3 linked regions of the Drosophila melanogaster genome follow. Changing the gene in region 1 together with any one later gene gives a genetic interaction. Each region holds a gene or a part of one and is shown on either strand. Other genes may lie near its edges.

Region 1 (11,079 bases):
TAGACACATCGCAAGGCAATCCAATTAATACGATTTGGAAACTAAGCAAACGCAGTGTAATTAATAAAATAAAATATTTGAAACAAAATAATTTCAATTAGCTTAACATTAGTTGGGCTGACCTACACAGCATGTTTTGTAAAGGCTATAAAATAATACAAAAACTTGTTGATACTCATTCAGAATATCTTCAACTTTTAGAAGTCATGTCTTTTTAGGTCGAAAATACTTTGATGTTGTATTTTTGGGGACAGACATCACGAGACACTAAAATAAATCAGAACAAGCAGGAAAACGGTTCACATTTTCCCCGCCACTTAGTAACGCAAATCAATCAGTCGCGACTTTCCTTCGGTAATTTCGAACATATGCTGGGATTTTCGATTCCCGAACAGCCAAACAATTTCCACGGCTAATTGGGCGGCCGAGTTCCATGGGTCCATTTCACTTTCCCATTGAGAACTCGGAAGGCGGTGTAAGACGATCCTTAGTTGGCAACCAGCTAGCTCATTGTTCTCGTCGAGGAAAGCTCGCTGGTGTTTGTTTCCTTTTTCAACGCGACCGCTAAACAACAAAACTACAACTTTTCCACCTAATACTCTTCAGCTATTTGTATACCTGACCAGATTTGAATATGATTATTGATTGCAGTTTACCTTCTGGATAGGAATTCTGTTGAAAGTCGGAAACCCGAGCAGATTGGCAACTGATTTCCATCATTCTACCTGATCTAGATCAGATTTGTTTATTTGCTCTTTCTAAATTTGGTATGCAGAGTTCTTGGGAAATTTTGGCCAAAAATGAATGAAAATTTGAAGAATGAAATCTGATAAAATCAAAGCACCATTGATAAAAAAAAAGACGGCTGTTTCTCACCATTACATAGAGAAAAATTGTCCAACGATATTAATATTTTCACTATATATTATTTATATTCAAGTTCTATATTATTTATGGCTAGCTTTAAATGGGATTTCAAATTCTCTTGTGCATCGTTGTTTTCTAACGACTTTATTAAGCGAAAATTGTAAACTAATTATGCGCTGCCAAACGAAATTCCCGCGGGACACAATTAGTGTGTTTTTTATTTTTTATTTTGGACATATGCTTTCCCCGGCCGCAAAATGAGCAAATAAATCATAAATGTTTCATTCAACGTAATTGAGCCAGAACTTACCCCTAAGTTCTCCTTCTCCGAGGGGCAGGGGTGGGTCACCATGCCTACACTTCTGTGAAACGAGAAAAACAATGTAATCCGAGAAGGTTTTTTGGAATGTGCGTAATATTGTGTGAAGGCTGCGAGGTGGAAAAACTTCTTCAGTTTTAGGGGTTGTAATGGCTCCGCCTACGGGAACAAGTGGAAGTGAAACAAAACGGTCAACGGAACAAAATTGAAATGAAACAGATTCAATGGGGGAATCCTTTTAAATTTATAGTTCATACAAATATTGATTATATACAAATATAAAAAATATGTATTTAATAATATTATTGCCTGATATTATATATTGCATTATATTACATTTGTACAAGCAGTTGTAGTTTTCTATCCTTAATTTAAAATGAGTAGAATTTATATAAAGTCCGTACTTATTTTTAATATAACAAGAAAAGCACTTCGAAAACGAACAATAACAATTTAACAGCGTAAACGAAACGAAACTCAAACCTCTTTGGCCAGCTTATGGACCTGGCGATAGTTGACGTCCACCAATCGTATACTGCCGCCCACCGTGGCCAGCGGTTTCATCAAGTTGTTCAGGGTGGTGGCCACCGGATCGAGGATGTCCCTGGCGGAGCACAGTACATTGTATAGGAAAATCAGTGGTGGCTGCAGGTAGCCGTTGAAGAGCATGGTCAGGAGGGGCTTGAGCAAGTAGTCGGAGGTCATGTGGAGCAGTCCAACGATCAGGGTGTTCACCAGGGAGTAGAGGACAAATCGGTAGCTCTGCAGAATGAAGGCTACCACGAAGGCCACGGCGATGTGCAGCAGTCCGAAGAGCTCCGCCCAGAAGTGGGTGGCATAGGTGGTGGCGCGGTCGGCCAGGACAATAGCATTGATCTTCGGATGCGAGTCCGTGGTGCTCAGATAGTCGGCGCAGCCATGCTCGAAGGGATAGATGCCGATGCAGGTGTGCCGGTTGGCCTCCTTGCGATTCCACTGTGGCTCCGGCAGATCGTCGATGATGGAATTTCGGCTCTGCGGCTGGCACTTGCACATCTTGTCCAGCGACTCCACTAAACGGGCTAGAAAGCCACTCTTCTGCTTCTGCTTCTGCGCCTGCGATGATTTGTGGGACTTTGTGGCACGACCCTTCACTTTCGGCGCAGTTCTCGTTGGGACGAGCACACGGGGACGGCGCTTGGAGTAACGCTGGAACTCGATCCTTTGGGGCTTGCTCTTGCTCAGGCTAAGCTGACTCTTCCCCGGCTCAGCGTGCATCTCGTACAGAGTGTGTGGTGAGCTCCCCGAATCCGTGGACGCGGTCATTTCCCCGTGCGCCACATCCTTGAACATGTTGTACTGCGTCTGACTGTGCTGATATGCGTCGGAATCGCTGGAGGAGTTCAGCCGTGGGAAGATCTTCTTCAGGGGAGACTGCAGCTTGGCCGTCACCCCCACGTGGTTCACCTTGATCAGGTTGGACTTGGAGGTGGCGCAATGGGGATCGGTTGATTCCGACATAGTGACTTTATGTTCTAAACTTATGACGTGCCGCTTCAAAGCCAACTGACGTCTTTTTCGTACATATGATCTGAATTCAAGTTAGGCGTGCCAAAAAGTTAACTTATAAGCTTTTTACCACAGAAGAGAACATATACTCTTTGGCCTAGAGACAAGAATATATAATTTAATATAAAAATGTATTTTTATTATTATTGGCTTATGTCTGTGCTATAAAACTTTTCATTTCCGGTTTGAGCCACCACTACGTTTGCAGGTATGTTTCGGTATATTTCCGGTAGATGGTGTACCCGTCAGTGGTTTCCCTTACCGGCCCCCAAACGGTCACACTCGCCCGAGCATAGCAGATTTGGAGAAAAAAACAACTGTAATTAGGAGCCATAATTAATTCATTTCGAATCGCACACGCTTTTCAGTTTATCTAGCCGAAAGTACAGAATGTTGGCCTCCGCCTGGCGCAGCGTGGCCACCTCCGTGGAGACCCAGTTGACGGCCACCTACTTCCGAGGTTCGTCCAGCAATCCGACACTGCTCCTGCGTTCCTGGCGGACGATTCCTCGAGCGGATGCCCCTGGTTTCGGAGCGATTCGGCGGCGTTTTCTGGCTGTGCCCGTCATCTGTCCAAGTCTCGTCAAGCGTAATCTATCCGTACATACGTGTTTAATCTAATCTCTCCCGGTGCTGCAATTTCATTTCCCAGTATCTACGCTTTTTGTTCGTCCGTAGCTAGTCAGTCTGTTTATCTGTTGGCCATCTATGTAGCTAAATGTGAAACCATCGCTTCGTTTCAGTGCAAAAACTACGAAAAGTCGGCTTCAGAGGCATGCACAGCACATTGGAGGACGTGCAGCTGGAGGGCATGGAGATCAAGATCCTGCCGGCCCTGCAGGATAACTATATGTATCTGATTGTAGACACGAAGACGCGCGAGGCGGCCGTGGTGGATCCCGTGGAGCCGGAGCTGGTCATTAAGACGGTGCAGGAGCAGCAGCTGACCCTCAGCAAGGTGCTGACCACGCACCATCACTGGGACCACGCCGGTGGCAATGAAAAGCTGCTCAAGCTGTGGGAGAAGGAGCTGGACGTGTATGGCGGCGATGACCGCATCGGGGCATTGAACAAAAAGGTTCAGCAGGACGACACCTTCACCATTGGTGGTCTGCATGTCAAGTGCTTGTCCACGCCGTGCCACACTACCGGCCACATCTGCTACCACATCACCGCGCAGCAGGGCAGCGGCGAGGGAGCCGTCTTCACCGGCGACACCCTCTTCCAGGGCGGATGCGGCCGCTTCTTCGAGGGCACTCCCGAGGAAATGTACGAGGCGCTGTGCACAAAGCTCTCCGCCTTGCCGGACGCCACAAAGGTGTTCTGTGGCCACGAGTACACGCTGCAGAACATGAGCTTCGCCCGTCACGTCGAGCCCGACAACGAGGTCATCCAGCAGAGGATCGAGTGGGCCAAGCACCGGCGCGCCTCCCAGGATCCCACTGTGCCCTCCACCATTGGCGAGGAGAAGTCCTGGAACCCCTTTATGCGCGTTCACGAAGCCACCGTGCAGAAGCACGCTGGCGGAGCCACCGATCCCGTCGTCACCATGGGCAAGCTGCGCAAGGAAAAGGACACCTTCAAAGCCTGATCTATTTCCTCGAAAGTTTCGAAACTTGTGATTTAATATTGGATTTTAATGGTTAATAAAATTAACGATGTGTGTGAAGTGCGGACAATGGATTTTTAATTATTCGCAATTTATCGGATTAAAACTTTTTTTGTTTTATTCAAATTATGACATAAATTTATTTCTTCAGCTTTATTTAAAAGAATTTATTTTTGGTATTTTGGTCTAGCAACACCCTAGAGAAGAGGGTACTGGTTGATTCCAACTTTATTCATAGAGCAATGAACTTAACAAATTTTTTAAATCCAAAGATTTTAGCAAATTTCGTAAAATTTGAATCACAACGGTTTTGGTTAGGCGTTAGTGCCTTTTGGGCATATCAAAAATACTTTTGGTATTTCTAGCGATCTATCGCCAACGATCTGGCAACACCGTCTGCCATTAACACAAAAATCGCGGCGTCTCTCCAATGGGATTTTGAAATAAAAACAAGTTAACAGCACGGCGCGATGAACGCAAACAAACGCAGAAGTTCGGTGGGTTCTTCGAAAATTAATTGATTGAGAAGCGCTCATGGTAGACCTACTCTTCTTGCAGCTGCGTAAGGTGCCGACCAAGGAAGATGAGGCGACCACAACAACGTCCGCGATCAAACAACAAATCAAGCGACGCATCAGTTTCAGTGGCAAGAAGTCCGTGAGGTACGTACAGTAGATATATGCGATGTACAACGCTCACCCGCCCTCCACATAGGGAATTCGTAAACACCAAGGAGACCAACAACTGGGACGACTCGTACGAGGTGTCGGAACACCATGCTGAGGACAGCTCGGGATCGAAGTGCTGCAGCACAGGATCAGCATCAGTAGCGAGGGTTTCCGAACATGCCGACAAGGAGAACATTCCCCTGCCCAGCCACTGCGAGCGGGAACATGTCGATCTGTCCGTGAATCTGCAGGCCAGCGTGGATTTCACCCTGCTGCCCTGCGAAATGATGGACAAATCGAGGAAGACATCCTCAATCTCTGCTGTGTCCTTTTGCATGACCTCCGAGGAGCGAAAACTGTTGCAAAGCAGTCTCAGCGACCGCCAGCTGGTAGACAAGACCATGGATCTGATATCCGGATCTCTCGTCAACCGCCACCAAATCGCGTCGAGCGTTTGTGAGGAATCCTCCATCAAAGTGGCAACAAACAAACTGGAGAAGGTGGTATTCACGCCAGCTGTCAAGGCTGTGAGTGACTCCTTCATGGACATCACGCCATTGGGATTTACTGATCCCAATCCTGCTGCTCCCGCTCCAGCTCCAGTTGCAACTCTATATCCTCCAACTCAACAAAGTTTAATGGAGCTCGAAGAGGACAGCATTGTAAGGGAGATGCGTGAGTCCACCAAAAACCAGACAAAAACTCCGGCGCAGAAATCGCTTTTCATGGACGTGGGGGAGACCAAGAATAAAACCCAACAGGGAGCTGGAGGTGCATCCTTCTCATTAAATGGTTAGTATTATCTCAGTTAAATCCCTTCCCAATAGTTTCTAATTAGCAAGTTTTCGGTTGTCACATTATTTTGCAGTTTCCAATAACCGAGATCGTTCGCCATCGAACTCCTTTGAGAGCCTTAATAGCACCATGAACTTTACGAGAGATGAGTCGATGCTGATACCATTCGACATGATTTCGGGGAAAAACATAAGCAAGAAACTCAATTTTCGTCAACTCAACGAAGACCTGGAGACGGGTAAGATCCAGATATTTCCGAACGGGCCAAAAACGCCGACCACGGATCGTAAGGCCAAGAAAAATCGGTTTTGGTGCGGCCTTGAAGAGGAGAGCGCGGGAGATAATAGTCCAAAGAAAGATATAAGAAGCATAGTGCCACGAGGAATGTTAAATTTCAGTGAGAACATGACCTTGACGCCGACGAAAACAAGTCCAGTTGGAAAGAACAAGGAGAAACTAAAGGCGGCGGATGAGAAGCAGAAGTATCGACTATCCCAGGCGGATGAGATGATGCTTGACAATACAAACTTCTTGGCCCACGCCAGACTAGGCGACGAAACGCAGTCGAGAAATACGTCGAAGAACTCGACAAGAAGGGAGACAACTTGCGAAACCTCGGAACTGAATTTGGAATATCCTACGTTAAGTCAGGACTTTCAACCCATTCCGAGTTCCAAGACTCGTAAAACTGATTTTATGGCTGAAGAAATGCAGCTCAGTCAGACAAATTACCCTGCTATTCCTGCATTGAAAACTGCTACCTCGCGTCGCACCTTACATCTCAATGAATCTATGGATCATGAAACAACGAAATCCACGTACGTTAGGAAGGAGATATCGGTTACCACGCAGGAGACTATCTACGAAAAATCCACAACCAACGAGCAGAACAGCAACCAAAATCGCAACACATGGGCCTGCACTAAAACCAAGCGCAGGGCGACGCTTTTGATGCAGGAAAGCATGGAGGAGGACATCATTAGCCCTCTCAAAAACTTACAATTAAAGCCCAATGCGGCTCCTATGAATACAGGGCAATCCAAAGTGAACCATACGCTGTATCTAGCAGAACCACTGGAGGAAGTGGACATAAACCAAAGTAATATGTTACCAACTAAAAATGTTGCCCCTAGAGAACAACTTAAAGCGAGGAAAACGCTGCTATTAGAGGAACCTATGGAAGAGGAAATGAGCAGTAACATTGGTTACAATTCCAAAAGAAAGACTCTCCACTTAGCGGAACCTCTGGTGGTGGAGGGAGAGGATTTCATTTTGGAAAAGCACATACCAATAAAAGTAGTCGCGCATCAAGAAAACAAATCCAAGGGTAGACAAACTCTTTTGTTCGAGGAGCCCGTGGAGGAGGAAATATTTCACAATGCGAAAGATTTACCGGAATGTGCTTTAAAGGGAAACAAGACTGGACCTCAGAAATACAGTCAATTAAACCAGGGGAAGAGTTTCACTTCGCAAAGCAGATCCAAAGCTAGGCAAACCCTCCTGATCGAAGAACCCATGGAGGAGGACACGGAATTTAACAATAAATATAATATTGCCAAACCTGGAGAGAACCACATAAGAAAGATCGCTAAATCCAGACAAACTCTCCTTTTGTCAGAACCTTTAGAGGAGGAAATGTGTCTTCCACCGCCAAAGAATAAGTCAATAGTGTCGCAAAAAACAATAGATAAATCAACCGAGCAGCAGCGATCAAAATCGAGGCACACGCTATTATTATCCGAACCTATTGAAGAAGAACATATTCAGCAGGACTTGCCAGCTGAAAAGGAGGATAGTTTAGCTAGACAGCAAAGATTCAAGCCAAGGCAAACGCTCATCATGGCAGAGCCCATCGAAGAAGATGTTGGAGAAACGGAACGTAGGGTGCAAACTAACATCACTGGTTCGTCAACTTCCAGACCAAGACACACTCTTTTGATGTCCGAACCGATTGAAGAAGAACTAACTAACGAAGATAAAAGTACGAATGCCAGCACAAATAGAACGTTAAGATCGAGGCGAACCATTTTGATGGCGGAACCGATAGAGGAAGAGGGCAATAAGTCTATCGCTGAAAAAATAGGTCAATTTACTAAAGAATCTTCTGAAGAAGCGGTATTTCAAACTTCCAAATCTCGTCAAACTCTGCTGATGGCAGAGCCTATAGAGGAAGATGTTTTCAATCAGTCAAATGATCAGCCAAAGCCACTTCCTATATCTAAGGATAAAATCACTAGGAAGACCTCTAGACGACACACGCTTATTACTGCCGAACCCATTGAAGAGGATTTGAGTGTTCGTAAGCCGCTGGAAAATTCAAAGGAGTCATCTTTGACCGCCAGAATTATTCAGTCATTCGCCGAGCCCATTGAAAATGCCCTATTTTCAATTACTGATCAAATAGCTAAACAGCAATTTTCCGAATCGGTTCAAACTCCTCCCAAGGAACCCCTAAACTATCTCCACCAGAAGCCGCGGAATACCCTCATCTCGCATGAAACTATTCAGGAGGATTTAGAACCCGTAAATGAAAACTCATCAGTGGGGCCTCTGAGGTCCAGGTACAGAAAGACCCTTATCATGGCAGAGCCCATTGAAGAAGATGTTAATAACCACAATATGACCAAACAAAATGGGATCTGTGACTCTTTAAATGTTCCACAGTCCGGTGGATATATGGCTGCCAAAACAAGACAATCCGTGCATATACCGGTACCCATTGAGGAGGATCATATTCCGGGCCAACAGCAAAGAGAATCCGAACCTGCGGTGAAGGGCAGAACTACGCTGCTGACTGAGTCCATAGAAGAAGATGTACCCGCGCAACACACTCGAATTTCTAAAAATAAATCAATGGGCTCGAAGGTTTCGGCGGAGCCTATCATCGAGGATTTGGATTCCAACAGACCAGAAATTTCACAATCCGTGGAAGAGACTTTACCCCAAAGAAGCCAGGTTCCTGATGTTCCGTCATCCAGAAGACATACGCTACTTTTATCGGAACCCATGGAAGAGGATGAGGGGATATTCGGACATAACTACCCCATAAGGACCAAGCACCAAATTTCCGAAAAGCTAGAAAAACCAGAAGGACCCATTCATTCATCTAAAAATTCCGTAGAAAACGAAGAGATAGGCACTCCTCCCAGTGCCAAGACTCAGCAATCCATTGCTATGTCCGAATCAATGGACTTTCAAAGCCCGCAGTTTAGGCCGAGGGGTCCGGACTTTAATGCAATCACGCCGGGAATGTCCTTGACTGAATTTGTGGATCAGGAAGAGATGTGCAAGACCCCGATTCACAAAAGAGTTCTCCTGACTTCCCATCGGAAAAAATTGTCCATGTACCAACCAGTGCCGATAGACCTTGAGGCGAATGCCTCCGGCTTTGGAACTCCAAAAAATCTCGTCCAACTAAAGCGCCTACCCACGCATCTCACGCCCAACCTTCCGGAGTCCAAGAAACGAAACACGCATCTGTTTCCGAATAGCAACATGGACATCGAATTGGAGGAGGATCAGGAAGGTTCTTGGGGGACAAAAAGTATTCAGATGCACACAGGGACAAGTAAATCACGCAGGACCTACACGGTAGACCAGTTGGACGCGTCGGTGCAGCCAGTAAGGGACTACAATCCTGTAGTGACTGAGATGAACAAACAGGGTGGTCTTAATATGCTGGAGCTGCCACGAAAATCGACCTATAACATGGATCTAGAGGAGAAACCCATCACTATCTCCGATGTTAATAATTACTTCCATGAGCAAAAGGAGCAGCAGCGCCAGTCTAGCGAAAGAGAGAGCGGCAGCTCCAACGATAGAACCTTCAAGAGCTACGCAGCAACAATCTCAAAATTCATCAATCTGACCGGGAACACAACCATCTTTGCAGCCGCAGAAGATTTGGGTGGTGAGGGGAAGGACCAGCCCCACCAGATAGATAACGAGCACCTAAGTCTGGTTTCCACGCTGGCGGAGGAAACAGACGATGATGGCGACGAGAAGGAGGAGGAAGAAGAGCAGAAGCAAAAACAGCATCTCTTACAACCTGAAATCTGCGAGGCTCAACTGAATTCAATGGTAAAAGCTGGCAGCGAAGGCTCCTGCAAAAAGTGCAGGAATTGCAATCATACTTTGAGCGAAACAAGGCTAAGTAGCGAGTCATTTGTCCTGCCACCTCGGAAATTGTGGGACTTTTCAAGGCTACAGCAACGGTTGCGCAATATAAGGCAGAGGCCGTCGTGGAAGGAAGTGAACACTTACTGGGAGATCGAGGAGGAGGCTCGTCTGTCCAGGAACCAAGACTCCGACGATTCAATGGAGCAGACCAGGGTGGAGGAGGAGGCCACCAAGTGGAACAAAGCGGCGCTTCTTGAAATGTGCAAGCTGTGAGTACCGAATACACTTGGAATTTTGAATCATTTTTTAACATTTACTATTTCTACAACAGAAGAACAGAAGAGAAGGACATAGCCATGCCCCCGGAATCCTTCTTTACGAGACTCAAACGTTTGCTAACCGAACAGCAGCCCAACTGGATCTTCGACTACCAGCGTAAAGTGTCCCAGCAAATGATATTTTACAACCGACAGCTGACCACGATCCGAATCGTGGTGAACTACCAAATCGAAGACTTAGTAGAGGAGTCCACCATTAGCGTGTGTTCCATTCAACTAGACAATGACGTGCCCACTCCCAAGGACCAATGGTCATCGCGTGAACACTTTTTAAACTTCCACCTAAGTCTCCGCCTGCCGATGAATCCTAGCGACGAGATCGAGGGCAGTGATGAGACGGCTTTCTTGAAATTTCTCAACGGCATTGATCGCAGAATTGCAGAAGTCAAGCAAAAGTTACACAAAGTTTTAGATCTTCTAGCGCAGAAGAGAGCGAGGCTAACAAGGTATAAGCTTCTCCAAGGTGTATCTCAATACATTACTAATTTAAGTGATCCCTTTTTAGAGAAGCAAATCGAACTATTGTCAGAAAGATAGTGCGAAAGTGCATCGACCAGGAACCCATCGTGCGTCTCGAGAAGATCACTTTCCTTATTGAAATCGGTAATATTGAGGACGTTTCCTTCACGGACATCCTACGCCCCGAACTGCATCTCTTCAATGAAAACATTCAGTATCTGCCCAAGGGAATTCCTTTCCTCGAAGCCTTTCTCACCGATCCCGAGCAGTACCTTAGAAAATAAATGCGTATGTTAGACTACCTTTTAAATTGTTTTAAATTAAAATAAATGCATTCGTCTGCGTTTTTTAACGAAT
Region 2 (11,079 bases), on another chromosome or scaffold:
GAGTTCCAGATGCCTATACTCGTCCTGCAGCTGTAGGTACTTTTGCTGTATAGTATTGTAGTCAACCTGCATGGTATCAATGGCCAGCTTTTGACTAGACCACTTATGCTTCAGGTTGTTGTACTTTTCCTGCAATTGTCCAAAGTCATCATGCGCTGTGGATATCTGTTCGGAGAGCCGTTTGCAATCAGTGGTCTTTTGTGATACCTCACAGCTTGCATGGCTGAAAGTAGACAGCATACTTTCCAACTTCATACGGGTGGCAGCAATCTCCGATCGCAACTGATCAAACTGGCAGGCGACTGAGTCCAGTCCTGAGGCACTCGCTAGGGGCAGTAGCCGTTCCAACTCCAGGCACTTGTTGCAGATCCGCTCGCAGCTGGACTCAAGCTCGGGGCACATGGATCGCATTTGATCCTCCTTGCTGTTTCGCAACACATCCCGAGATAGCTCCTCAAGGGACTGTTGCAGACTTACTATGGTCGAATCTTTTTCGGAGATGGAGGAGAGAAGTTCTTCCTCCATTTGCTTCGACTTGGCCTTGTGTGTTTCGAATTGCTCCCCTAGATTGACTGCCTTGCCGTTCTCCATCTCCAGCCGCTCAATTGTCTCCTTTAGCCTCTTCACCTGCTCCTCGTACTTCTCGATCGTCTCCTTTGCTACCTGGTTGGATGCAGTAAGCGCAGAGATCTCGGTCTGCGGGGCATCGCAGCTGTAATTGATAGGAAAATTGAGGGATTTGAATGAATACGTAAATTCAGGAACTCCATAAATATACTTTAACTCTATTTATATTTCCAGTGCGCGCATGGCTACGAAAAGCTATTTACTCTGCCTAGCTAAATGGGTGCTGTCTGAGGGAATCCGGCGTTCACAAAAAACCACTAAAAATAGAAGCAGCTGGCGGCATTCAAGTTGAAGTTGCACCAGGCGAGATGTGTGGGTTACGCGAACATGGTCAAAGAAATAGAAGCGTTTTTAAAGATTCAAATCTAAACACCTTTCACAAATTGTTTATTTTCGCAAACGAAACAGAAGTGCAACTGCACTGTGCTATTATTTTGAGCGCAGATCTTTTACCCAAGTCACTCACTCACTCACTCACTTTTTCGGTTTCGGTTAGCCAATCTATATGCGTTACATCACAGTCTATAACGTTGGTGGATCGACAGTAGGGCCGACGTCATCGATCACCCAAGACGATCGGGGGAGGAGCGCGAGAGCGATGGGCGGAGGAAAAGCGTGCTGACTGACGGACAGCGGCAAATACAATGAGCATTGCGGAATTCCAGCGATCAAATTATCAAGAAGTTGGCCAGTTAACTACCTTGTCGATCGGCTGACTGCCTTATCGCGCTTCCAGGGCCACAAAGCGATCGTAGCTGGGGCGTCACATCGCATCCAGCCGAGTCTATTCGCAAAACTGGCTCACAACAGGCGTCGCCTCGCCTCTTTCCGCTCCCGGATTCTCCCCCAGAAATCTTTCCTTCTCGACGGCTATTTGCGTTGGCGTTTGTTTTGTTTTCGATTTCTTCGCGATCGGACTCCCAGTTGAGACAGCTTGCCCTCTTCGCTGCGACTGCTGCGAGAAAGCAAGAAGAGCGAGCGAAGACCGCACGAGAAGACAGCCGAGTAGAAGAGCACGCCGCACTCGTCTCCACCTCGTTTTTAGTTCAGGTGTCAGGTGAGTGCGCGCAAGAGGTGAGTTGGTATGTTCAAAATGCGCAAAATTGCTTACTTAAAGTACTTTTCAAAACGATATAGTCGCGTAGAATACTATGTAGTTTCGTTTGTTTAACTCATTTGAATCTTTTTATAACTCTAGATCTAAAAGTAAAATAAATAATTCATAAATTTACTTACTTCGGCACCGACTCCTGATACTTTTTTGACATCATTACTGAAGGAATTCTGCTAGCTGTCTCTCTTCCCAACTGTTTCGCCCGGCCAGGCATAGTGTCCATATTATCCGTTTGTAACCTTTTCTCCTTTAGGGTTTTACAAATGCCTTTGGCTTTGGGAGCAATCCCCCGCCGCTGAAACAAGGGTTTCGGCAGGTTAGTCAGCTTCGAAGGACGCGGTAGACGGGACTCCTCTGGCTCAGGCAATGCGAGAACAGGAGCGTCGCCTTCTGAGCCTGAGGCGGTTAAAGTCCAAGTACGACGACGCTTCTGGAGGCGATAGTCGTCAAGCGAGGCGCTGGAAACGATCTTCAACATGTCGCGCTTGATGCGACCTTCCAATTCCTGCAATACCAGCTGGCTCTCATTCTTGATCTTCTTCTTAGCAAGCTTATCCTTCAACATACTGATCCCGCGATCAAGTTGCCTCATCATCGTGGTTTCAGAGTCTATCTTGCAGACCTGCGGCTTGCAACGAATTTTTTTGGCACACGTGCCGAAGCTTATAGTGGATGACGACTCCTCCACGAACGATGGCGTAATTGTACAGATGATAGAGGTCAAAACATTTCCACCCAGCGAAGGCAGCATGATGCGCGGAAGTTTCGAATCGCGAAAGCTATTCGGCTTGCTATCTACACTCTCGGAGAGGCTCTTAACCAAGTTGCGAAAAATCATAAGGCTGGATGCGTGGTCCGCGGGGTCCACCTGTTCGGATCCAGCCAGATCCACCAGGCTCAGTACGCTCTGCTTTACGGTGTCGTTATCACTGTGGTCCGACTTTCGGGACTCAATGATCTGTAGAAATAATCTTGCATATTATATGATTAATACAAGAATCTAGCACTCACTATCCTGAAGATGGCGTGCGAACGACTGGACCGCTCGTTCATGTTGGTCTCGCCCACGACGCGCTCCTTGTTGCCCATGTAGAGCTGGCGCAGGAGGTCGTCCTCGCTGGTTACGATGGACTCCTTGCAGTTCACATTCACAATCCCATTGCCGGACTCATGGATCTTGAGGTCCTGATTCTTCTTGTTCAGCAGATCGTAGATCTTCTCGTTGTAGATCTCGATGTAGCCCACGCGCAGCAGAAAGTCCCGCTCCGTCTCACTGGAGATCTGTTGAAAGATCTCCTTGGCGGCTAGCACCATGACGCCCGGATTCTGTTCGTCGCCCATCATGGTGTACGTCTTGCCTGAAATGCATGCCCGGTTTTAGGTATACCGCCGCGTATATATAGCACAGTACCCACCCGACGACGTCTGGCCGTAGGCAAAAATAGTTCCGTTGGAGCCCTGCATGCAGGCGTGCACTATGTGCTTGGCCATCCGGTCGAACACCTCCTGGTTGCTGGCGCCCTCGTCGAACACATAGTCTGCCAAACGGAATGGAATGTAAATGAGATAAAGGTCTTGTAGATCAGGATACGCTCAACGCTCTAACCACTCACCGAAGACATAGGGCTCCGCATGGCTGTCCGCCAACTGGATGGAGCGGCCCTCCTTCACCTGCCAGAGTGAAGTGAGCCCGGGCTCGCAGGGACGCACCTTGATGCAGACCTGGATGGAGCTGGCGTTCTTCGTAGACATCTTTGCGACTTGTGGGAAACGTGTTTGACATGCACAATGAACAGACACAAACAGATTTTAACGTTTTATAAAAGCTAGTTTGATCGACATGTTAGTTTCTCTTTGTAAATTCGAACAAATACCGCTTCGGAAGCGAACCAGATCGAAATACGGAACCAGTAAATAGGCGCGAGCCAGTTCAATTTAAAAGTTTGAGGAGCTTTCGGCGAATATGAAAATATAATCCAATAGGCTTCGAACATAAAACTTTTTCCGAGCTTTTTCGTGATATATAATATAGATTATTATTATCTATATTTCCAAAATAGTAAAGACCGCTAAATTAAATGCTTACTTACAGACAGACAAAAGCTGAGGGGATTGTTTAATGCATACAGAAGAATACTGTCTGATATAAACATGAGATTTCATTGGAATAATAATCCCAGTTGTTCACTATTAAAAAAAATAGGAAAATTGAAAATTTGGAAAATATTATAGTGGTTATATTAGGGAGCTTAGTTATAATTTATTTCAAATATTTGTTTTGGAATCAAATACTTTCCACATTATATGTGTGCTATGAATAGAAGTTATGAATTAGTAGAAAAAATACGAACTTATATGAAATTTAAACCGTAGTTTTCGCATGTATTTAAGAGCTTGTTCTATTTTCTGTTTGACCTTAAAGTATTGAGTCATAGAACTTTGTTAGTTAGCATGCCCTACCAATAAGAACACAACGTCTTAGAATATATATATGCCGTAGCGACCCTTGATCAGGAATGTTAATGCAGCCCTGTGGGATAAGAACATAATGTGTTTCTGTTTTTATTTTTGCAGCCCTATTTGGAACTATGATAACAATCGATGAACCGATTTATCTATCGAGTCGTTAGCGCCACTCGAAGATATCGAAGCATATACATCCCTGATTTTGCAAAGCGGCATTTGTTCGAATTTAACGAGCAACAAAGATGTCGATCAATGTTTGTTTACTGTAAAACATTGAATTTTATGTTTGTTTATGAACTGCGTTCTGTTTATCATAAAGCATTGAGACCAAGAAGGCGCCAAGATGTCTGCGAAGAACGCCAGCTCCATCCAGGTCTGCATCAAGGTGCGTCCCTGCGAGCCCGGGCTCACTTCACTCTGGCAGGTGAAGGAGCGCCGCTCCATCCACTTGGCGGACAGCCATGCGGAGCCCTATGTCTTCGGTGAGTGGTTAGAGCGTTGAGCGTATCCTGATCCACAAGACCTTTATCTCATTTACATTCCATTCCGTTTGGCAGACTATGTGTTCGACGAGGGCGCCAGCAACCAGGAGGTGTTCGACCGGATGGCCAAGCACATAGTGCACGCCTGCATGCAGGGCTTCAACGGAACTATTTTTGCCTACGGCCAGACGTCGTCGGGTGGGTACTGTGCTATATATACGCGGCGGTATACCTAAAACCGGGCATGCATTTCAGGCAAGACGTACACCATGATGGGCGACGAACAGAATCCGGGCGTCATGGTGCTAGCCGCCAAGGAGATCTTTCAACAGATCTCCAGTGAGACGGAGCGGGACTTTCTGCTGCGCGTGGGCTACATCGAGATCTACAACGAGAAGATCTACGATCTGCTGAACAAGAAGAATCAGGACCTCAAGATCCATGAGTCCGGAAATGGGATTGTGAATGTGAACTGCGAGGAGTGCATCATAACCAGCGAGGTTGACCTCCTGCGCCTGCTATGCTTGGGCAATAAGGAGCGCACCGTGGGCGAGACGAACATGAACGAGCGGTCCAGCCGTTCGCATGCCATATTTAAGATAGTAAGTGCAGCCTGCTATTTTCTTTCCGATAATCTGCAACATGTATCCCACAGATCATCGAGTCCCGAAAGTCGGACCACAGCGATGACGACGCAGTGATTCAAAGCGTGTTGAACCTGGTGGATCTGGCTGGGTCAGAGCGGGCGGACCAAACGGGTGCTCGAGGAGCGCGCCTCAAAGAGGGCGGTCATATAAACAAGAGCTTACTTTTTCTCAGTAACGTTATCAAAAGTCTGTCGGAAAACGCGGACAATAGATTTACCAACTACCGCGATTCCAAGCTGACGCGCATTCTGCAGGCTTCTTTGGGCGGCAATGCATTCACATCCATCATTTGCACAATCAAACCATCGATCATGGAAGAGTCGCAGTCTACCCTTAGTTTCGCCACGCGAGCCAAGAAAATTCGCATTAAGCCCCAAGTCAACGAGATGGTATCTGACGCCACAATGATGAAGCGGCTGGAGCGAGAAATAAAGGTGCTTAAGGATAAGCTGGCCGAAGAAGAGCGCAAAAACGAGAACCAGCAAAAGGTAGAGCATCTGGAGAGACAAATAAAACACGACATGCACAAGATAATCTGTGGTCACTCCCTGAGCGACAAGGGTCAGCAGAAGCGTCGCCGTACTTGGTGTCCCACTGCATCGGGATCGCATTTGGAGCTAGCAGAGACCGGCACAACTGAAGATCGAATTGACCAATTTCCAAAGGTCTCACACCTTCCAAAACCAGTGTTTTTTCACACTTCAAATGCAGGCAAACGATGGGACAACATTCCAAAGACCATAAACATTTTGGGTTCCCTGGATATCGGTACCGAGAGCAACTCCATTAGTGAGGAATTTCTCCCGGCAGAATGCATTGATTTTGGCTCCCCTCGCCCAGATGTCCTCAAACCCATGTTGACCATCAGGCAACTGCCAGACCTGCCCCTCACTCCCAAGGGTCCCTTAACGTAAGTACTTCTGCAAGCTTTTTGATCATCCTCCATAACATTCATCACATAACAATCGCATCCACATACCCCGACCCGATCCCTGCACTTATTTGCCTGCACAGAACGGATAAAATCAAGAAGGAAATCCAGGACCTGCAAATGTTCACCAGCTTAGAGAAGCATTTTGAGGTGGAGTGCGAAGAGGTGCAGGGTTTAAAAGAAAAGCTGGCCGAGGTTACAGCACAGCGGGATAATTTAGAGCAAGAATCGTTAGCCGAAAAGGAGCGGTGAGTTAATGAGGTGTTTTCTGTCAAGGAATCTGTCGTCCAAAACATAGTGCCTGCATCGTAAAAAACGATGTAAACGTAACTCGACTTTTGTGCTTTAAGCAGTCAACCCAAAATCTAACATACCTATTCATACAAATCTGTAAAACTAGTGCAGCGATATTCTATTCCATTCTATAAAAACAAAACACTTAAGTATATGTTTCAGTTTTTAACAGTAAATTTTGTTTATAGAACACCACTCCACAATACCTGTTTGTTTGATTTATTTTATTATAGTTTTAGTGTTTAACAATAGTTTACTACTTGTGTATCTTCTTATAGTTATGATGCTCTGGAAAAGGAAGTAACCAGCCTAAGAGCGGATAATGAGGCTGCGAATTCAAAAATCAGCGAATTGGAAGAGAAACTGAGTACTCTAAAGCAGACTATGAGAATAATGGAAGTGGAAAATCAGGTGGCCGTGGGCCTCGAGTTTGAGTTTGAGGCTCACAAGAAATCATCGAAACTTCGCGTGGATGACTTACTCTCTGCCCTTTTAGAAAAGGAGTCGACTATAGAGAGTCTTCAAAAGTCCCTCGACAATTTAACCCGCGATGTCTTACGGAACAGCAAGGAGGGCCACATGCTTTCCATTGCCCCAGAGCAGGAAGACATCGCCGGCGACAGTATATGCAACAAGTGTGAGGAACTGGAGAAGCTGATTGCAGATTTAGAGTCCAAGAAAAATTCATGCGAGTGTGATCAGCTCCGGTTGGAAATCGTCTCTGTTCGCGACAAGTTAGAGAGCGTTGAATCTGCCTTTAACCTGGCAAGCTCGGAGATTATCCAAAAGGCGACTGATTGCGAGCGACTTTCGAAAGAGCTATCCACATCCCAGAATGCCTTTGGACAACTTCAGGAAAGGTACGACGCTCTGGACCAACAGTGGCAAGCTCAACAAGCGGGCATCACAACCCTACATGAAAAGCACGAGCACGTGCAGGAGAAATACCAGAAATTGCAGGAGGAGTATGAGCAGTTAGAAAGCAGGGCAAGAAGTGCCTCCAGCGCTGAGTTTCAACGGCTTCAAAATGACAACACGAAGTTTCAAGCCGATATCGCATCCCTCAATGAACGATTGGAGGAGGCCCAAAACATGCTTACGGAAGTCCAAAACTCTGAATCTACTGTGGAAAAGCTTCGAATACAAAATCACGAACTTACAGCGAAAATCAAAGAACTGGAGACGAACTTTGAAGAGATGCAGCGGGAATACGATTGCCTTTCCAATCAACTGATGGAGAGTGTCCAGGAGAACGATGCCCTGCGAGAGGAGATAAAGCAACGACCCACGAGTCACGTTGAGGAGTCTATGAGGAGTTCCGGTATAAGCTCCGATTTTGACGAACAGAAGCAGGATATAAACCTTCTACACCAGTTTGTTCAGCTTTCTGAGTCCGTCCAACAGATAGAGCTGCAGCATCATTCCGGCATCAGTCGCCTCTTTAGAGCCAACCAAATGAAACTGGATCAGAGCGAGCCAGGACTTAAGCTTTGCCTTGAGTCTGCTGAGTACATCGAGGAAGACAATCGTCAATCCGATGCAACTGAACCTATTTGTCTCAAAGGCTTTCTCAAGCGACACAGATTTCAGATAAAGCGACTTAGCCAGGAACATGTAGATATGGGAGAGGAGAAGCGATTGCTTGATATTATTTCGCAGCTGGAACAGGAAATCGAAGAGAAGAGTGCACTTATGGAGGCAACAGAGGCAACCATCAATGAAATGCGAGAGCAGATGACTAACCTAGAGTCGGCACTCCTCGAAAAGAGCGTTATAATTAACAAGGTTGAGGACTACCAGCGGCAGATCGAGTCCCTGGAAAAACAAAATGCGGAGATGACAATGGTATACGAGGAGCTGCAGGATAGAGTAACAAGGGAGAGCTCGATGAGCGAGAGTCTGCTCCGAGTTCCACCTGACGAGGATACCCTTCCAGGATGCCCTACATCTCCCAGTAGACGAGAACAGGAGGTGGCCACGCTAAAGACATCCATAACAGAATTGCAGTCACAAGTTTCTGATCTAAAAGCAGAACTTGAAAACCATTTAAGGCAGATCCAGTTGAAAGACGGGAACATAGCGAGACTACAGACGGATTTTGAGGAAATGAGTGAGCGCTGCTTATCGATGGAGGTGAGGCTAGCCGAGTTGGATGAGGACACTAAGCAAAAACAAGAACTACTGGATCGTCAGGCGCAGAAGCTCTCCGATGACCTATGCCTTATCGATCAGCTTCAAAAGAAAAACGCGCAGCTCGTTGAACAGTATCATAAAGCGACAGAATCTCTCAGTCTTGCGGATGCAAAGCCGGATCAGATACTACTTTCCTCCCAATATGATAGTCAGATCGAGAAACTTAATCAATTGCTAAATGCAGCCAAAGATGAGCTACACGATGTGCGAAGGATAAAAGATGATGAGATAAGTGCTTTGCGAATGGAGTTCCTGCTCCAAATTGAAACGAATGAGAAAGAGAACCAAGCCAAGTTCTACGCTGAATTGCAGGAGACTAAGGATCGCTATGAGAGCAATGTGGCCGAGTTAAAGGAGAAGCTATTGCAGGTAGAGGAGACACTCTCCAGCGTTACGGTTCGTTGTCAGGCGGAGTTGGAAGCGCTTAAATCTGCTCATAAAGAAAATATTTCTCAGGCTGTGGAGGAAAGAAACAATTTGATTGTCCAGCACCAGGCAGAAATGGAGACTATCAGGGAAACTCTTAAGAATAAGCTAGCTGAGGCTAGCACCCAACAATCAAAAATGGAAGATGCCTTTAGAGCGGAAATAAACGAGGTGAGAGCCACCCTAATGGAGCAATTGAATCAAACGAAAGAAGATCGCGATAAGGGAGCCTCGAAGCTTGAGGAGGTCAAAAAGACACTGGAGCAGATGATAAATGGAGGACGTGTCATGTCAGACACCATTGCTGAGTTGGAGAAAACAAAAGCTGAGCAGGACTTGGCAGTCAATAAATTAACAAAGGACAACATCGAATTAGAGAAGCAGTGCAGTAAGACGCAGGAGCAGTTGCAAATGGAATCGCTTACTCGAGATCAAATCAGTTTCGAAATAGAAGCACATATTAAAAAGCTGGAATTGATTGTGGCCTCTTCAAAGAAAAGGATTATTGAGCTCGAGGAAAAGTGTGACCAGCAGGTTCTGGAATTGGATAAATGTAGGCTCGAGAAGTTGTCCCTGGAATCAGAGATTCAAAAAGCGAATTCAGAGCATTCGTGCACCATGGAAAAACTTCAGGAACTCCAAGCTGAAATGAAAGTTCTAAGCAACCGGAATGAGAAGGAAAAGTGTGATTTCGAAACTAAGCTCGAGACATTTACTTTCAAGATAACCGATCTCGAAGAAGTCCTGAAGGAGGCACAACATAAAGTCATTCTCTATGACGATTTGGTATCGCAGCACGAACGCCTAAAAATCTGTCTTGCCGAGGCAAATGAACTATCATCAAACTTGCAAAAGAAAGTGATGAGCCTGCACACGGAATTGATTGATTCCCAAAAGGGAATATCGAGTCGAGATGTGGAAATTAATGAGCTACGCGAAGAACTGAAGGCCGCTATGGATGCCAAGGCAACCGCGAGTGCCGAACAAATGACTCTGGTAACGCAGCTCAAAGATGTCGAGGAGCGGATGGCAAACCAGGCAGAAAAGTTCACACGTGAGGCGGCTAATCTAAAAGGGTCTATAAACGAGCTCCTCTTGAAGCTCAATTCCATGCAAGAAACTAAAGATATGCTAGAGTCCGGAAATGAAGAACTCAAAGAACAGCTGAGAAATTCCCAAAATCTGCGGAACATGCTGGATGAGGAGAGTAAGATGTGTATCTCCCTAAAAGAAAAATTAGTCAAACTGGAAGATGCAAAAACTAGCCTTGAACAGCAGTTGCGAGACAATAAATCAGAAATATATCAAAGGCACACGGAGCTTACCAAGGAGGTGGAGCTGGGCCGCAACAGAATTGGAGAACTCACAAAGAAGTGTGAGGAGCTGTGCTCTGATCTGGTAAGCTTTTTTCTTAGCGTTATAATTATATGAAATTGTTTTTTTAAACACGAAAATGATCCTAAAGGAAAACTCAGACCAGATACGACTCGATCTGCAAGAAACTAAAGAGCAGTTGAAGAAAACGTTGGAAAATAACCTTGGATGGCAACAGAAGGTTGACGAAGTGACAAGAGAGTGCGAAAAGCTACGATTTGATATGGTAATAGAGGAGCTCACACGATCATTCACAGAAAATTATTCATTGATTTCTTTTAGCAATCCAAAGAGGTGCAAAATGAAAGTAAGGTTCAGGAATTGATAAGCGAGTGCGAAGAGCTCCGGTCAACTCTGGTAAGTGTGATATCCTGTTGCTAGATTTTTAAATGATTTCAAAAAATGATTTTTAGAAATCCAAGGAAGCCAGTTTTCAGTCTGAGAAAGAAAGCATGGACAGAACAATCTCAAGTCTTTTAGAAGACAAACGCAACCTCGAGGAAAAGTTGTGCTCGGCTAACGATA
Region 3 (11,079 bases), about 20 Mb from region 1:
TCGCGCCGCTCCCTATTCCTCTCGTAGCACACACAGTCATTGGCCTTCTTGCAGGGGCCCCTCAGCTTGGGCATTCGCGACAAATGGGACTCGACGTTACTCTCCCAGTTTATGTTCTGTGAATAGAACTCCTTCTTCACCCTATCGAAGATCGGCTTCATCGGCAGCTCGGTCAGCCCGAGCAGGAACTTGCAGCTCTCCGTGCGCTTCTTGTAAACGTGAATGTGCATCACGTCCTCGTCCGTGATCGGCGATTCCAGCGTGAAGAGGGTGCACTTGCCGCACTTGGGCGAACAGGGGTTGACACAGCTTCCGTTCTCCCGATCGCGGATGTTCAGGAAAACCGAACGGAACGTGATCTCCGTGCAAGTGGGATACTCCTCCGGAGCGCAGAGGTTGGGACGAGTGATCAGCAGATCGTCCACCATGAACTCCAACATATACAGGAAGTTATCAGCAAGATTAGAGCGTTTCTCCGACTTGTCCATTCTCATATAAAAGCTTAAAAACTAGAAATTTGACAAAATTACTATACCAAAGAATTTGTTATGTGTTGAAAACGTTTTTAGAAATTTTCAGTCACTGAAACCTAATTTTGACGAAAAATAAATATGTTGAATTTTGAATTCAGATTTTGACGACGTGCCGAAAAGGAAAGACTGATTTTCGAAATGGATCTATGCGACTGAATGTAAAAGGCCTGCCTACGATTCAAAATATATAAATAAAAAGCTAAGAGCTCTGCATTCCTACTAAAATATCAACAATGACATTCTTTATATGATTAACACCCTCTGGGTAACCTGTACTCTTAACCTTTACTGGCCATCTTTTATGGTTGTCATAAACGCCATATACCCATATCATTAATTACATTTCACCTCCACAAGTAGATAGAAAGACGCCGGTCTGAGGTTTTCTAGCAATGCGTAAAATACTTTATTTAATGTCATTAAATGGTTCTACAAAAGTGATTGATCTACATTGCAGTTAATCGCAGTTAATAAGCGGCGCCTTCACAACTCCACTTCTTCCCGATCGAAACCCCAATCATTCCCCTTTTCCAGCCGCCTGAAGCTCGCCTAAGTGTAAGTGATCTGTGTATATAATGACTAACAAGTTGCAGAAGGGAATGGACTGGGGGGGGCTTTAAGACTAAACAAAAACAGAATAAAACAAAACAGAAATTGAGAGGAAGTCGAATCGATTACAGAATTGGTTTACAATTGTTCTTTCTCGGAGCAATGGGACAGTTTAGCTGCAGAGGTAGTTCCCAGTGACTCTGCTAGACGACACTAACGTCATGGGTCTCGAAAGGAGATGGGCGGAAAAAGCCGCGGCCACTGCACGAACTCGACGCCGTAGTGCAGGATGCCCGTGGCACTGACAGCGATCATTGCGCCCCAGAAGAGCATGAACAGCAGGTTCTCCGTGTTAAACTCGGCCGGATAGGTCATCGTGATCATGAACATGGCCACAGCCACAAGCAGCACCGAGGGGAAGGTGAAGAACCGCCAGCCATGCTTCGACTCCAGCGGCGATGGCACGGCACCGCCCTCGTTGTCGTTGACCAGATACTTTCCAAGGAAAAGATCGATGCTGTCTTGCCGCTGGCCATCGGCGAAGTTGTTCAGATAGTAGCGCATCAGCGAGTTCTTGCCGTCCTGCATGGCACCAGACTTGGTCCTCTTGCCCGTCCTGGTGAAGTCGGTCTTGAGCGCACACGTTCCGGAATATTGTAGCGACACCAGATCCGCGTTGTCCGCCCACACGCCCTTGAAAATGCTCTCGAAAATGTCGGAGGCATGTTCCACTTTCTGGCCCACATGAAGCACTCCCAGCTTCTGGAGCACCGCAGTGAGGGACCTGCGGGCCAGCATGCTCTGCACGACGTTCGTCCTATCGAGACAGTCGATACAATTCGTTCGGAAGACACCAGTCTGCGTGGACACCAATTTGCCGTCGTCGAAGACATGATAGACACCGAACTGATCCTGCTCATGGGCGAGGCGATCGATGAGTATGTTCAGCCGGTCCCAGCGCATCTTACGGCACTCGCTGTGGAAGTCGAAAGACTCGTATCGCACTTGTGGATTTCCCATTTCTCGAACCAGGCGGGCATAGGTCGCCTCGAGCTCGCCTTCGGCACCTTTGTGATCCACTAGATTCACAGCCACATTGTTGCCATACAGCCGGATCTGTTCCTTAAAGTGGAGCCCGCAGGCGGCCAAATGATCCTTGCCCGGCACCAGAACGGGTCGTGGCTTATAGCGCAAATTGGGCAGCTGGTGCCAGTGGAAGGGCATGCTGCCTCGTGTCTGCACGAATCCAGTCAGCTGCCCGTTGAACTCCACTATTTGCTCGGTCTCTACGAAGTTCGCAACATGGCCCTGCTCGTCGCTGCCTCGGCAGAAGAGCCGTGTGCCCGCCCGCTGCACGGAACGCCTGGTGATGATGCTCCAGAAGAATGTCTGCCCGTTGATCTGCACCTGGTTGATAGACACGAAGCCCAGGACGAGTGGCAGCTGGAACTTCTCCATCTTATCGCAGTTGAACTGCCGCAGCACATAGCCATTCCAAACGAATCGCTGCTCAGCGCGCTGGAGCAACCCGGATACTTCAGGCCGCGATTGTGCCACCTCCCGCTGTCGCTGCAGCGAATTGGTAAGGTCGTAGCGGTAGGAGAAGTAAAAGAACTTGGTGTCAAGTGTCTGGCGTAGCAGTCGCAAGTAGTTTTCGTTCTCCTTGCGCTGGAAGGAATTCGGAATGTAAGGTATGATGTCATAGCCCGCTAATCTCCACACAACTGCGCCATTGAGCACGCCCACGAAGAGGCGGTGGGTCGCCACCAGAAGGTAGTCGCAGCTCAGTAGGTGAATGGTTCCCAGCACACCACAAATCCTCCTGGTGGGGCGAAGGTTGGCCACAAGACCTCCGCTCGCTGGCTGAACCCTGGTGACTTTGTCGTGGCGCCCGATGACCAGCAACTCATCTCCTCCATTCGGCTCGATGATGAAGCTCTGCGGTGCGATGTACAGGTTCATGTCATCGTACACGGCGTTCTCCTCCCTGCTGTCCATGATTTCCGGGGGCGGTGGCTGGCCCACTTCGAAGACTAAGGGTTAAAAATGGGATAAGGGTTAATAGCTATAGCCAGTGCTGCTTCCTCTTTCTCTGCTCACTTCCTGTAATCGGGGATTCACTGTCGCTATCACCGCTGTCACACACGCACAGCACCAAAATCAGCCACACAATCAGGAGGTTACTCGTTCTTTATTGATTTAACACACAAATTGCAGTTCATCTGATTTTTGGGCCAACTCTTTGCCACTACGTGTGTGATAGGGATGGACCAGTTGGCTAAATAGCCGAATAGCGAATAGCTAATATATTCGATACTTTAAGATGTTCACACCCACTTACTTGCATGTGGTACTCCACTCCCGCAGTTGCACCAATCTAACCAGGATGGCATTTCCTCTTAGGACGGCATAATTTGGGCCTCGTAAGCTAAATTTTGATAAATCACCGTTTCAAATCTATTTTAAAGGAACATGGCTACTGAGGATGAAATTTTTGTTATTTTTTGAAATATACCAAAAGAAATACCAAGTATCGATACCACAAGTCGACGAACATTTTGGCGCGAATCCATCACTAGATCCCCAAACCAAAGAAAAACAGAGAGGATCAACAATGAGCCGACAAACAAAAATGTTCGGCGAGAAAGCCTTCGACCTGCTAAAAGAACTGGAGAGATCGTCGCAGACAATTCCCGCCTTCGACGACGATGGGGTGCGCCAGGTGCTGGAGGAGATCAAGGCGATATTCGAGGAGAACGTGGCCCAGGCCTCCAGCTACAATGCTTCCGGGGATCGCAGTCTGTGGCCCCTGCTCAACTTCAGGCACGCAGCTCTCCAGAGGAACAAGAGGTGCCTGCTGGCCTACCTATACGAGCGGTGCAGGAGGATCAAGGCCCTCAGGTGGGAGTTTGGACCCATTATCCCCGGGGACATCAAGCAGGCACTCTGCGAACCGGAGGTCACCTTCTTCAACAACTACTCCAAGTCCCTGGCTGCCTACATGTGCAGTGCGGGCTACAACCAGGGCTTGCCCATTGATCTAACCAACAATCTGCGTCCGCCCAAGTCACTTTACATCGAGGTGCGCTGCATGGAGGACTATGGGAAGTTCGAGCTGGACGACGGCGAGGTGATCCACCTGAAGAAGAACAGCCAGCACTATCTGCCCCGAGCTCAGGTGGAGTCTCTCGTGAGGCAGGGCATTCTTCACCACATAGCCTAGTCGGGATTATTTGATAATAAGAGTTTACTATACATATTTAATGGTTTAATGTAGAACAAATAAAAGATAAAAAATTATTTAATTCAAATAATTTGAACATTCTGTAGTTTTCCAATACTTGTATTTTTCGATGTTGGTATTTTCAGGGTGCCGTGTTGCGGTCACACTATTTGCGCATTATTTTAAAATTGAACGGACAACTGAAGACGCTGCTTCTCTCTGTTCTCATTGGAAATAGTGCGAAAATTGGTTTTCCACGCCAGCCTTCTGTAAATAGTAGTTACAGTTATCAGCATTCGGCTCGGTGGAAGGTGAAGCACAAGGATTTCCAGGAATCAAACACACACACACACGCATACCGATACACGCGACAGGCGTCATTTTTTGGACTGTACGCGCTAAAACCACAATTAATTGTTTCAATTGATCAATATGGACATATCTGGTGGGAATACGTCGCGCCAGCCCCAAAAGAAGTCCAACCAAAACATCCAGGTGTATGTGCGCGTCAGGTGAGTTTGTATATGTAACCAAAACCCCTTAAAAAGATCTACATATATCTTCTATATCTTTTGTAGACCCCTTAATTCTCGGGAACGTTGCATCCGCTCGGCCGAAGTCGTGGATGTGGTCGGACCACGGGAAGTGGTCACCCGCCACACGCTGGACTCCAAGCTCACCAAGAAGTTCACCTTTGACCGCAGTTTTGGCCCCGAGTCCAAGCAGTGCGATGTCTACTCCGTCGTGGTGTCTCCGCTGATCGAGGAGGTCCTCAATGGCTATAACTGCACGGTGTTTGCTTATGGCCAGACGGGCAACAATCTGCGTCCGCCCAAGTCACTTTACATCGAGGTGCGCTGCATGGAGGACTATGGGAAGTTCGAGCTGGACGACGGCGAGGTGATCCACCTGAAGAAGAACAGCCAGCACTATCTGCCCCGAGCTCAGGTGGAGTCTCTCGTGAGGCAGGGCATTCTTCACCACATAGCCTAGTCGGGATTATTTGATAATAAGAGTTTACTATACATATTTAATGGTTTAATGTAGAACAAATAAAAGATAAAAAATTATTTAATTCAAATAATTTGAACATTCTGTAGTTTTCCAATACTTGTATTTTTCGATGTTGGTATTTTCAGGGTGCCGTGTTGCGGTCACACTATTTGCGCATTATTTTAAAATTGAACGGACAACTGAAGACGCTGCTTCTCTCTGTTCTCATTGGAAATAGTGCGAAAATTGGTTTTCCACGCCAGCCTTCTGTAAATAGTAGTTACAGTTATCAGCATTCGGCTCGGTGGAAGGTGAAGCACAAGGATTTCCAGGAATCAAACACACACACACACGCATACCGATACACGCGACAGGCGTCATTTTTTGGACTGTACGCGCTAAAACCACAATTAATTGTTTCAATTGATCAATATGGACATATCTGGTGGGAATACGTCGCGCCAGCCCCAAAAGAAGTCCAACCAAAACATCCAGGTGTATGTGCGCGTCAGGTGAGTTTGTATATGTAACCAAAACCCCTTAAAAAGATCTACATATATCTTCTATATCTTTTGTAGACCCCTTAATTCTCGGGAACGTTGCATCCGCTCGGCCGAAGTCGTGGATGTGGTCGGACCACGGGAAGTGGTCACCCGCCACACGCTGGACTCCAAGCTCACCAAGAAGTTCACCTTTGACCGCAGTTTTGGCCCCGAGTCCAAGCAGTGCGATGTCTACTCCGTCGTGGTGTCTCCGCTGATCGAGGAGGTCCTCAATGGCTATAACTGCACGGTGTTTGCTTATGGCCAGACGGGCACAGGGAAGACCCACACCATGGTGGGCAACGAGACTGCCGAACTGAAATCCTCCTGGGAAGATGTGAGTGAACAAAAATTCAAATCAAAACCATATCAACCATATCAGCGTAGGGCCCTACATTCTCACTTTCGCAGTTTAACCAAACAAAAAAGGTCTTTGCCATTCTTAGCCATCTGGCTCAAGGCCATCGAAACCAGTTTTTCTTTTCTAAGAATCGCTAATCTAACCTTTTCCAATTTGTCTTCCCGCTTAGGACTCTGACATTGGCATCATACCGCGCGCTCTGAGTCACCTTTTCGATGAGCTGCGCATGATGGAGGTGGAGTACACTATGCGCATTTCCTACTTGGAACTGTACAATGAGGAGCTGTGCGATCTACTGTCCACCGATGACACCACCAAGATACGCATTTTCGATGACAGCACCAAGAAGGGATCGGTGATTATCCAGGGCCTGGAGGAGATACCAGTGCACAGCAAGGATGATGTGTACAAGCTGCTGGAGAAGGGAAAGGAGCGTCGCAAAACAGCCACTACGCTGATGAATGCACAGTCCTCACGCTCCCACACTGTATTTTCTATAGTTGTGCACATCAGGGAGAATGGCATCGAAGGAGAGGACATGCTGAAAATCGGTAAACTGAATCTGGTGGATCTGGCGGGCAGTGAAAATGTTTCCAAGGCTGGGAATGAAAAGGGAATACGTGTGCGGGAAACAGTAAACATCAATCAGAGCCTCTTGACTCTCGGTAGAGTAATTACCGCTTTGGTCGATCGCGCTCCTCACGTTCCATATCGTGAATCAAAGCTGACTAGACTGCTGCAAGAATCTCTGGGTGGCAGGACCAAGACCTCCATCATAGCCACCATATCGCCGGGCCACAAGGACATCGAGGAGACCCTGAGCACTTTAGAGTACGCTCATCGCGCCAAGAACATTCAAAACAAGCCCGAAGTCAATCAGAAGCTGACCAAAAAGACTGTGCTCAAGGAATACACCGAAGAAATCGACAAGCTTAAAAGAGATCTTATGGCGGCCAGGGACAAGAATGGCATCTATTTGGCCGAGGAAACCTACGGGGAGATAACTTTGAAGTTAGAATCCCAGAACCGCGAGCTTAACGAGAAAATGCTGCTGCTCAAGGCTTTGAAGGACGAACTCCAGAACAAGGAGAAGATCTTCAGTGAGGTGAGCATGAGTCTTGTGGAGAAAACGCAGGAGCTGAAAAAGACCGAGGAGAACCTACTGAACACGAAGGGTACTTTGCTCCTGACCAAGAAAGTGCTGACCAAGACCAAGCGACGATACAAGGAAAAAAAGGAGTTGGTGGCCTCGCATATGAAAACGGAGCAGGTTTTGACCACACAGGCTCAGGAGATCCTAGCCGCTGCTGATCTGGCCACTGATGATACTCATCAGCTGCACGGAACCATCGAAAGAAGGCGTGAGTTGGATGAGAAGATTCGCCGATCTTGCGATCAGTTCAAAGATCGTATGCAGGATAATTTGGAAATGATCGGTGGCAGCCTGAACTTGTATCAGGATCAGCAGGCAGCCCTCAAGGAGCAGCTAAGCCAGGAAATGGGTAAGCTATCTACAGAAATCAATTTGTATATTATTGTACATAAGTAAAATTTTATAAATCTCCAGTAAACTCGAGCTATGTGAGCCAACGCCTTGCACTAAATTCCAGCAAAAGCATCGAAATGCTTAAGGAGATGTGTGCCCAATCGCTACAGGATCAGACCAACCTCCATAATAAGTTAATAGGAGAAGTCATGAAGATCAGCGATCAGCACTCTCAGGCATTTGTCGCCAAGCTGATGGAGCAGATGCAGCAGCAACAGCTTTTGATGAGCAAAGAAATTCAGACTAACCTGCAGGTGATCGAGGAAAACAACCAGCGGCACAAAGCCATGCTGGACTCTATGCAGGAAAAGTTCGCCACCATAATTGACAGCAGCTTACAGTCTGTGGAAGAACATGCGAAGCAAATGCACAAGAAGTTGGAGCAGCTCGGGGCAATGAGTTTGCCAGATGCGGAGGAACTGCAGAATCTTCAAGAGGAGTTGGCGAATGAACGAGCTCTGGCGCAGCAGGAGGATGCTCTCCTTGAGTCCATGATGATGCAGATGGAACAGATCAAGAACTTGCGGTCCAAAAATAGCATCAGCATGTCCGTACATCTTAATAAGATGGAGGAGAGTCGACTGACGAGAAATCATCGCATCGATGATATTAAGTCTGGTATCCAAGACTACCAAAAGTTGGGCATAGAAGCTTCCCAATCCGCACAAGCGGAGCTCACCAGCCAAATGGAGGCGGGAATGCTTTGTCTGGACCAAGGCGTTGCCAACTGTTCGATGCTTCAGGTGCACATGAAGAATCTCAACCAGAAATACGAAAAGGAAACAAATGAGAATGTTGGTTCCGTTCGAGTGCACCACAATCAGGTGGAAATTATTTGCCAAGAGAGCAAGCAGCAGCTTGAGGCGGTGCAGGAGAAAACCGAAGTTAACTTGGAACAGATGGTGGATGCAAGGCAGCAGCTTATCACCGAGGACAGACAGCGATTCATAGGCCATGCCACTGTAGCCACTGATCTTGTCCAAGAGTCGAACCGGCAGTTCTCGGAGCATGCTGAACACCAACGGCAGCAGCTGCAAATTTGCGAGCAAGAGCTTGTACGCTTCCAACAGTCGGAGTTGAAAACGTACGCCCCAACTGGGACCACGCCCTCCAAAAGGGATTTCGTTTATCCGCGCACCCTCGTGGCCACGTCGCCACATCAGGAAATTGTGAGGCGCTATCGCCAAGAGCTGGACTGGTCAGATCTGGACACCACGGCCACTATAGATGAGGTAACCTAAAATCCTTCAACCTTGTATGTTGAAAAGCACCAACTTTTATGTTTCCAATCCGTAGTGCAGCGAGGGTGAGCATGACGTCTCCATGCATTCCGTCCAGGAGCTGTCCGAAACTGAAACCATAATGAACTCCACGCCCATTGAGCCCGTGGATGGTGTCACCGTGAAGCGTGGGTGCGGCACCACCCGCAATTCCAATTCGAACGCCCTAAAGCCACCCGTAGCTACTGGTGGAAAACGCAGCAGCTCGTTGTCACGTTCCCTGACACCCAGTAAAACGTCACCTCGAGGTTCTCCCGCCTTCGTCAGGGTAAGTCAAGTGCAAGTCCGCTAATGACTTAACAAATAAAGGGTGGGGATATATTATCATTGCTTTTATTTTCAATATTTTTAGCACAACAAAGAAAACGTAGCCTGATTGCATTCGATGACAGTAGTAGTCTCCCCTTCCCAGTAACCCGTTTATGTTAGTGGATTTCGGATCGCTGTGTTTGTTTGGCTCTTCTGGATATTCATTTTATCTGTATATCAATCTTTGGAATTTCGTACATTTATTATTTAAATAAACTCAGTATGCTATGTAAAGTTAAGGAAATCTTTAGTTCAAGTGCAGGTTTAAGATATATCAGAAGGTATTCTTAAACTTCGATACTATTTTTTAGGGAAGAAGTGAATTTGGTTTTTTAATGATGTCATGCCTTCCAAGGAAGCGCTTTATAATTAATATAATCTTAACTATTTTACTTATCATATTCTCGTTTGTGAATTTAAATTTGTTGAAGTTTTTTTTCATAAAACATTTAAACATATTAAATATCCATCTTTCAAAGTGTGTTCCTTATAATTAGAGCATCCAACATATTTAGGAAAAAACAGATGTCATAACTATCTATCTATCTATTACTAATCCTCATCCTGCTCGTCGTCATCATCCTTAAGAATGCCCAGACGGCGGGCTACCTCCTTCACATTGGCAATGAACTCCTCCTGGACCAGGTTAAAACTCATGGCCAACAAGGCAATGCCGAAAAGAAGGTACAGCGAGCAATAGGCGATGGACTGCTCCGACTCGTCCTTGACTCCTTTCGCGGGGACAAAGTCACCAAATCCTGTAATGCAAAAGCAGATGAAAAGAGTGCGCAAGGAATTGGGATAAACACAAACCGATTGTTGTCAGTGTAATGAAGCAAAAGTAGGCGGAATCCAAGAAGGACCAGTTCTCCCAGTACGCAAAAAGAACAGCTCCGCCAAGGATGTAGCTCACTACCAGAAAGACGCATAACCAAATGGGGACAGGTCGATCCTTGGGCAGCAGATCTCCATAGTCCCCATACTCATCCCCGTACATAGAGTCATCGTCGTCGTAATCGTAGCTGGGTCGCCGACGGATTTGCCGCTGGACCGGAAATCCCATTGGTGACATGATTCTCGGGGAAGGGGGCAAACGTTCAGCCCGCTCTCTTCGGCGATTTCTTTTTGGTTCTCGACTCCTTGAGTGGTGGCGCTCAGGCGGATAATCCTCGTAGTTATTGTCTCCGTAAAGGGATCCCTCATCGAAGCTCTCTTCCACGTAGTCCTCGTAGCGACCCTGGGAGTGACCACGCCTATCCCGTCGATGGTCCCGTCCCGGCGGTGGAGCATCATAGTCGGGAAGTTCGAGATGGTTGCCATAGCGAGATGATTGCCTGCCCAGACTTCCAGCTCGTCTATCATGCTGTTGGCGATAGGAGCTCTGCGGTGGCGGCTGTGGAGATCGTTCCCGTTCTCTGTCCTTCTGGCGTTGCCTTTGGTGAGCAGATCTGGGCATGGATTGACTCCTTGGAGCTGCTTGTCTTCTGTTGCCCCCGAAGTCATCTAAAGCATACCTATTTGGTATAATTGGTGTTTTCCTCACCACGTCCTCGTCGACGTCTTCGTAATGTGAAGAAACGTGCCTGGGATCCACGGACTTGGCCCTACTTCTCCCAGGTGCCGAGTGAAGACGATGCAGTTCTCTGGACGCTTTGGAAGATTCCTGATTGTGTGGCGATCGAACCGATCGCACACTGGCAGCTCTTTTCGCAGGAGGTTGCATGTCACCGAAGTCCTCAATGG

The links.
Region 2: of Spc105R (region 1) and cmet, changing one suppresses a phenotype caused by changing the other (phenotypic suppression), as found in Drosophila melanogaster (one study listed by BioGRID).
Region 3: of Spc105R (region 1) and Klp61F, changing one suppresses a phenotype caused by changing the other (phenotypic suppression), as found in Drosophila melanogaster (one study listed by BioGRID).

Annotation. Positions count from the first base shown.
Region 1 is NT_037436.4:20,795,666-20,806,744, forward strand, and holds the start of Spc105R (Spc105-related), read left to right. Parts: upstream 1-4,744; 5' UTR 4,745-4,813; coding exon 4,814-4,840; exon of another isoform or gene 4,841-4,877; coding exon of another isoform or gene 4,878-4,901; coding exon 4,902-5,005; intron 5,006-5,057; coding exon 5,058-5,803; intron 5,804-5,879; coding exon 5,880-10,194; intron 10,195-10,256; coding exon 10,257-10,709; intron 10,710-10,768; coding exon 10,769-11,006; 3' UTR 11,007-11,079. Other genes in the region: CG3698 (uncharacterized protein), read right to left, coding at 1,664-2,686; tzn (tenzing norgay), read left to right, coding at 3,125-3,323, 3,478-4,325.
Region 2 is NT_033779.5:11,262,318-11,273,396, reverse strand, and holds the start of cmet (CENP-meta), read left to right. Parts: upstream 1-4,394; 5' UTR 4,395-4,550; coding exon 4,551-4,689; intron 4,690-4,764; coding exon 4,765-4,887; intron 4,888-4,944; coding exon 4,945-5,291; intron 5,292-5,344; coding exon 5,345-6,246; intron 6,247-6,350; coding exon 6,351-6,515; intron 6,516-6,839; coding exon 6,840-10,578; intron 10,579-10,645; coding exon 10,646-10,780; intron 10,781-10,836; coding exon 10,837-10,911; intron 10,912-10,967; coding exon 10,968-11,079. Other genes in the region: cana (CENP-ana), read right to left, coding at 1-712, 1,864-2,699, 2,753-3,099, 3,157-3,279, 3,355-3,493.
Region 3 is NT_037436.4:1,240,292-1,251,370, reverse strand, and holds Klp61F (Kinesin-like protein at 61F), read left to right. Parts: upstream 1-5,460; 5' UTR 5,461-5,730; coding exon 5,731-5,810; intron 5,811-5,876; coding exon 5,877-6,177; intron 6,178-6,370; coding exon 6,371-7,703; intron 7,704-7,768; coding exon 7,769-8,979; intron 8,980-9,043; coding exon 9,044-9,295; intron 9,296-9,345; exon of another isoform or gene 9,346-9,379; coding exon 9,380-9,403; 3' UTR 9,404-9,803; downstream 9,804-11,079. Other genes in the region: Bfc (booster for Crq), read right to left, coding at 1-494; Sac1 phosphatase, read right to left, coding at 1,302-3,080; Psf1 (partner of Sld five 1), read left to right, coding at 3,697-4,305; CG32318 (uncharacterized protein), read left to right, coding at 4,738-4,817, 4,884-5,298; galene, read right to left, coding at 9,889-10,094, 10,150-11,079. UniProt on the Drosophila melanogaster protein: Important role in mitotic dividing cells. Microtubule motor required for spindle body separation.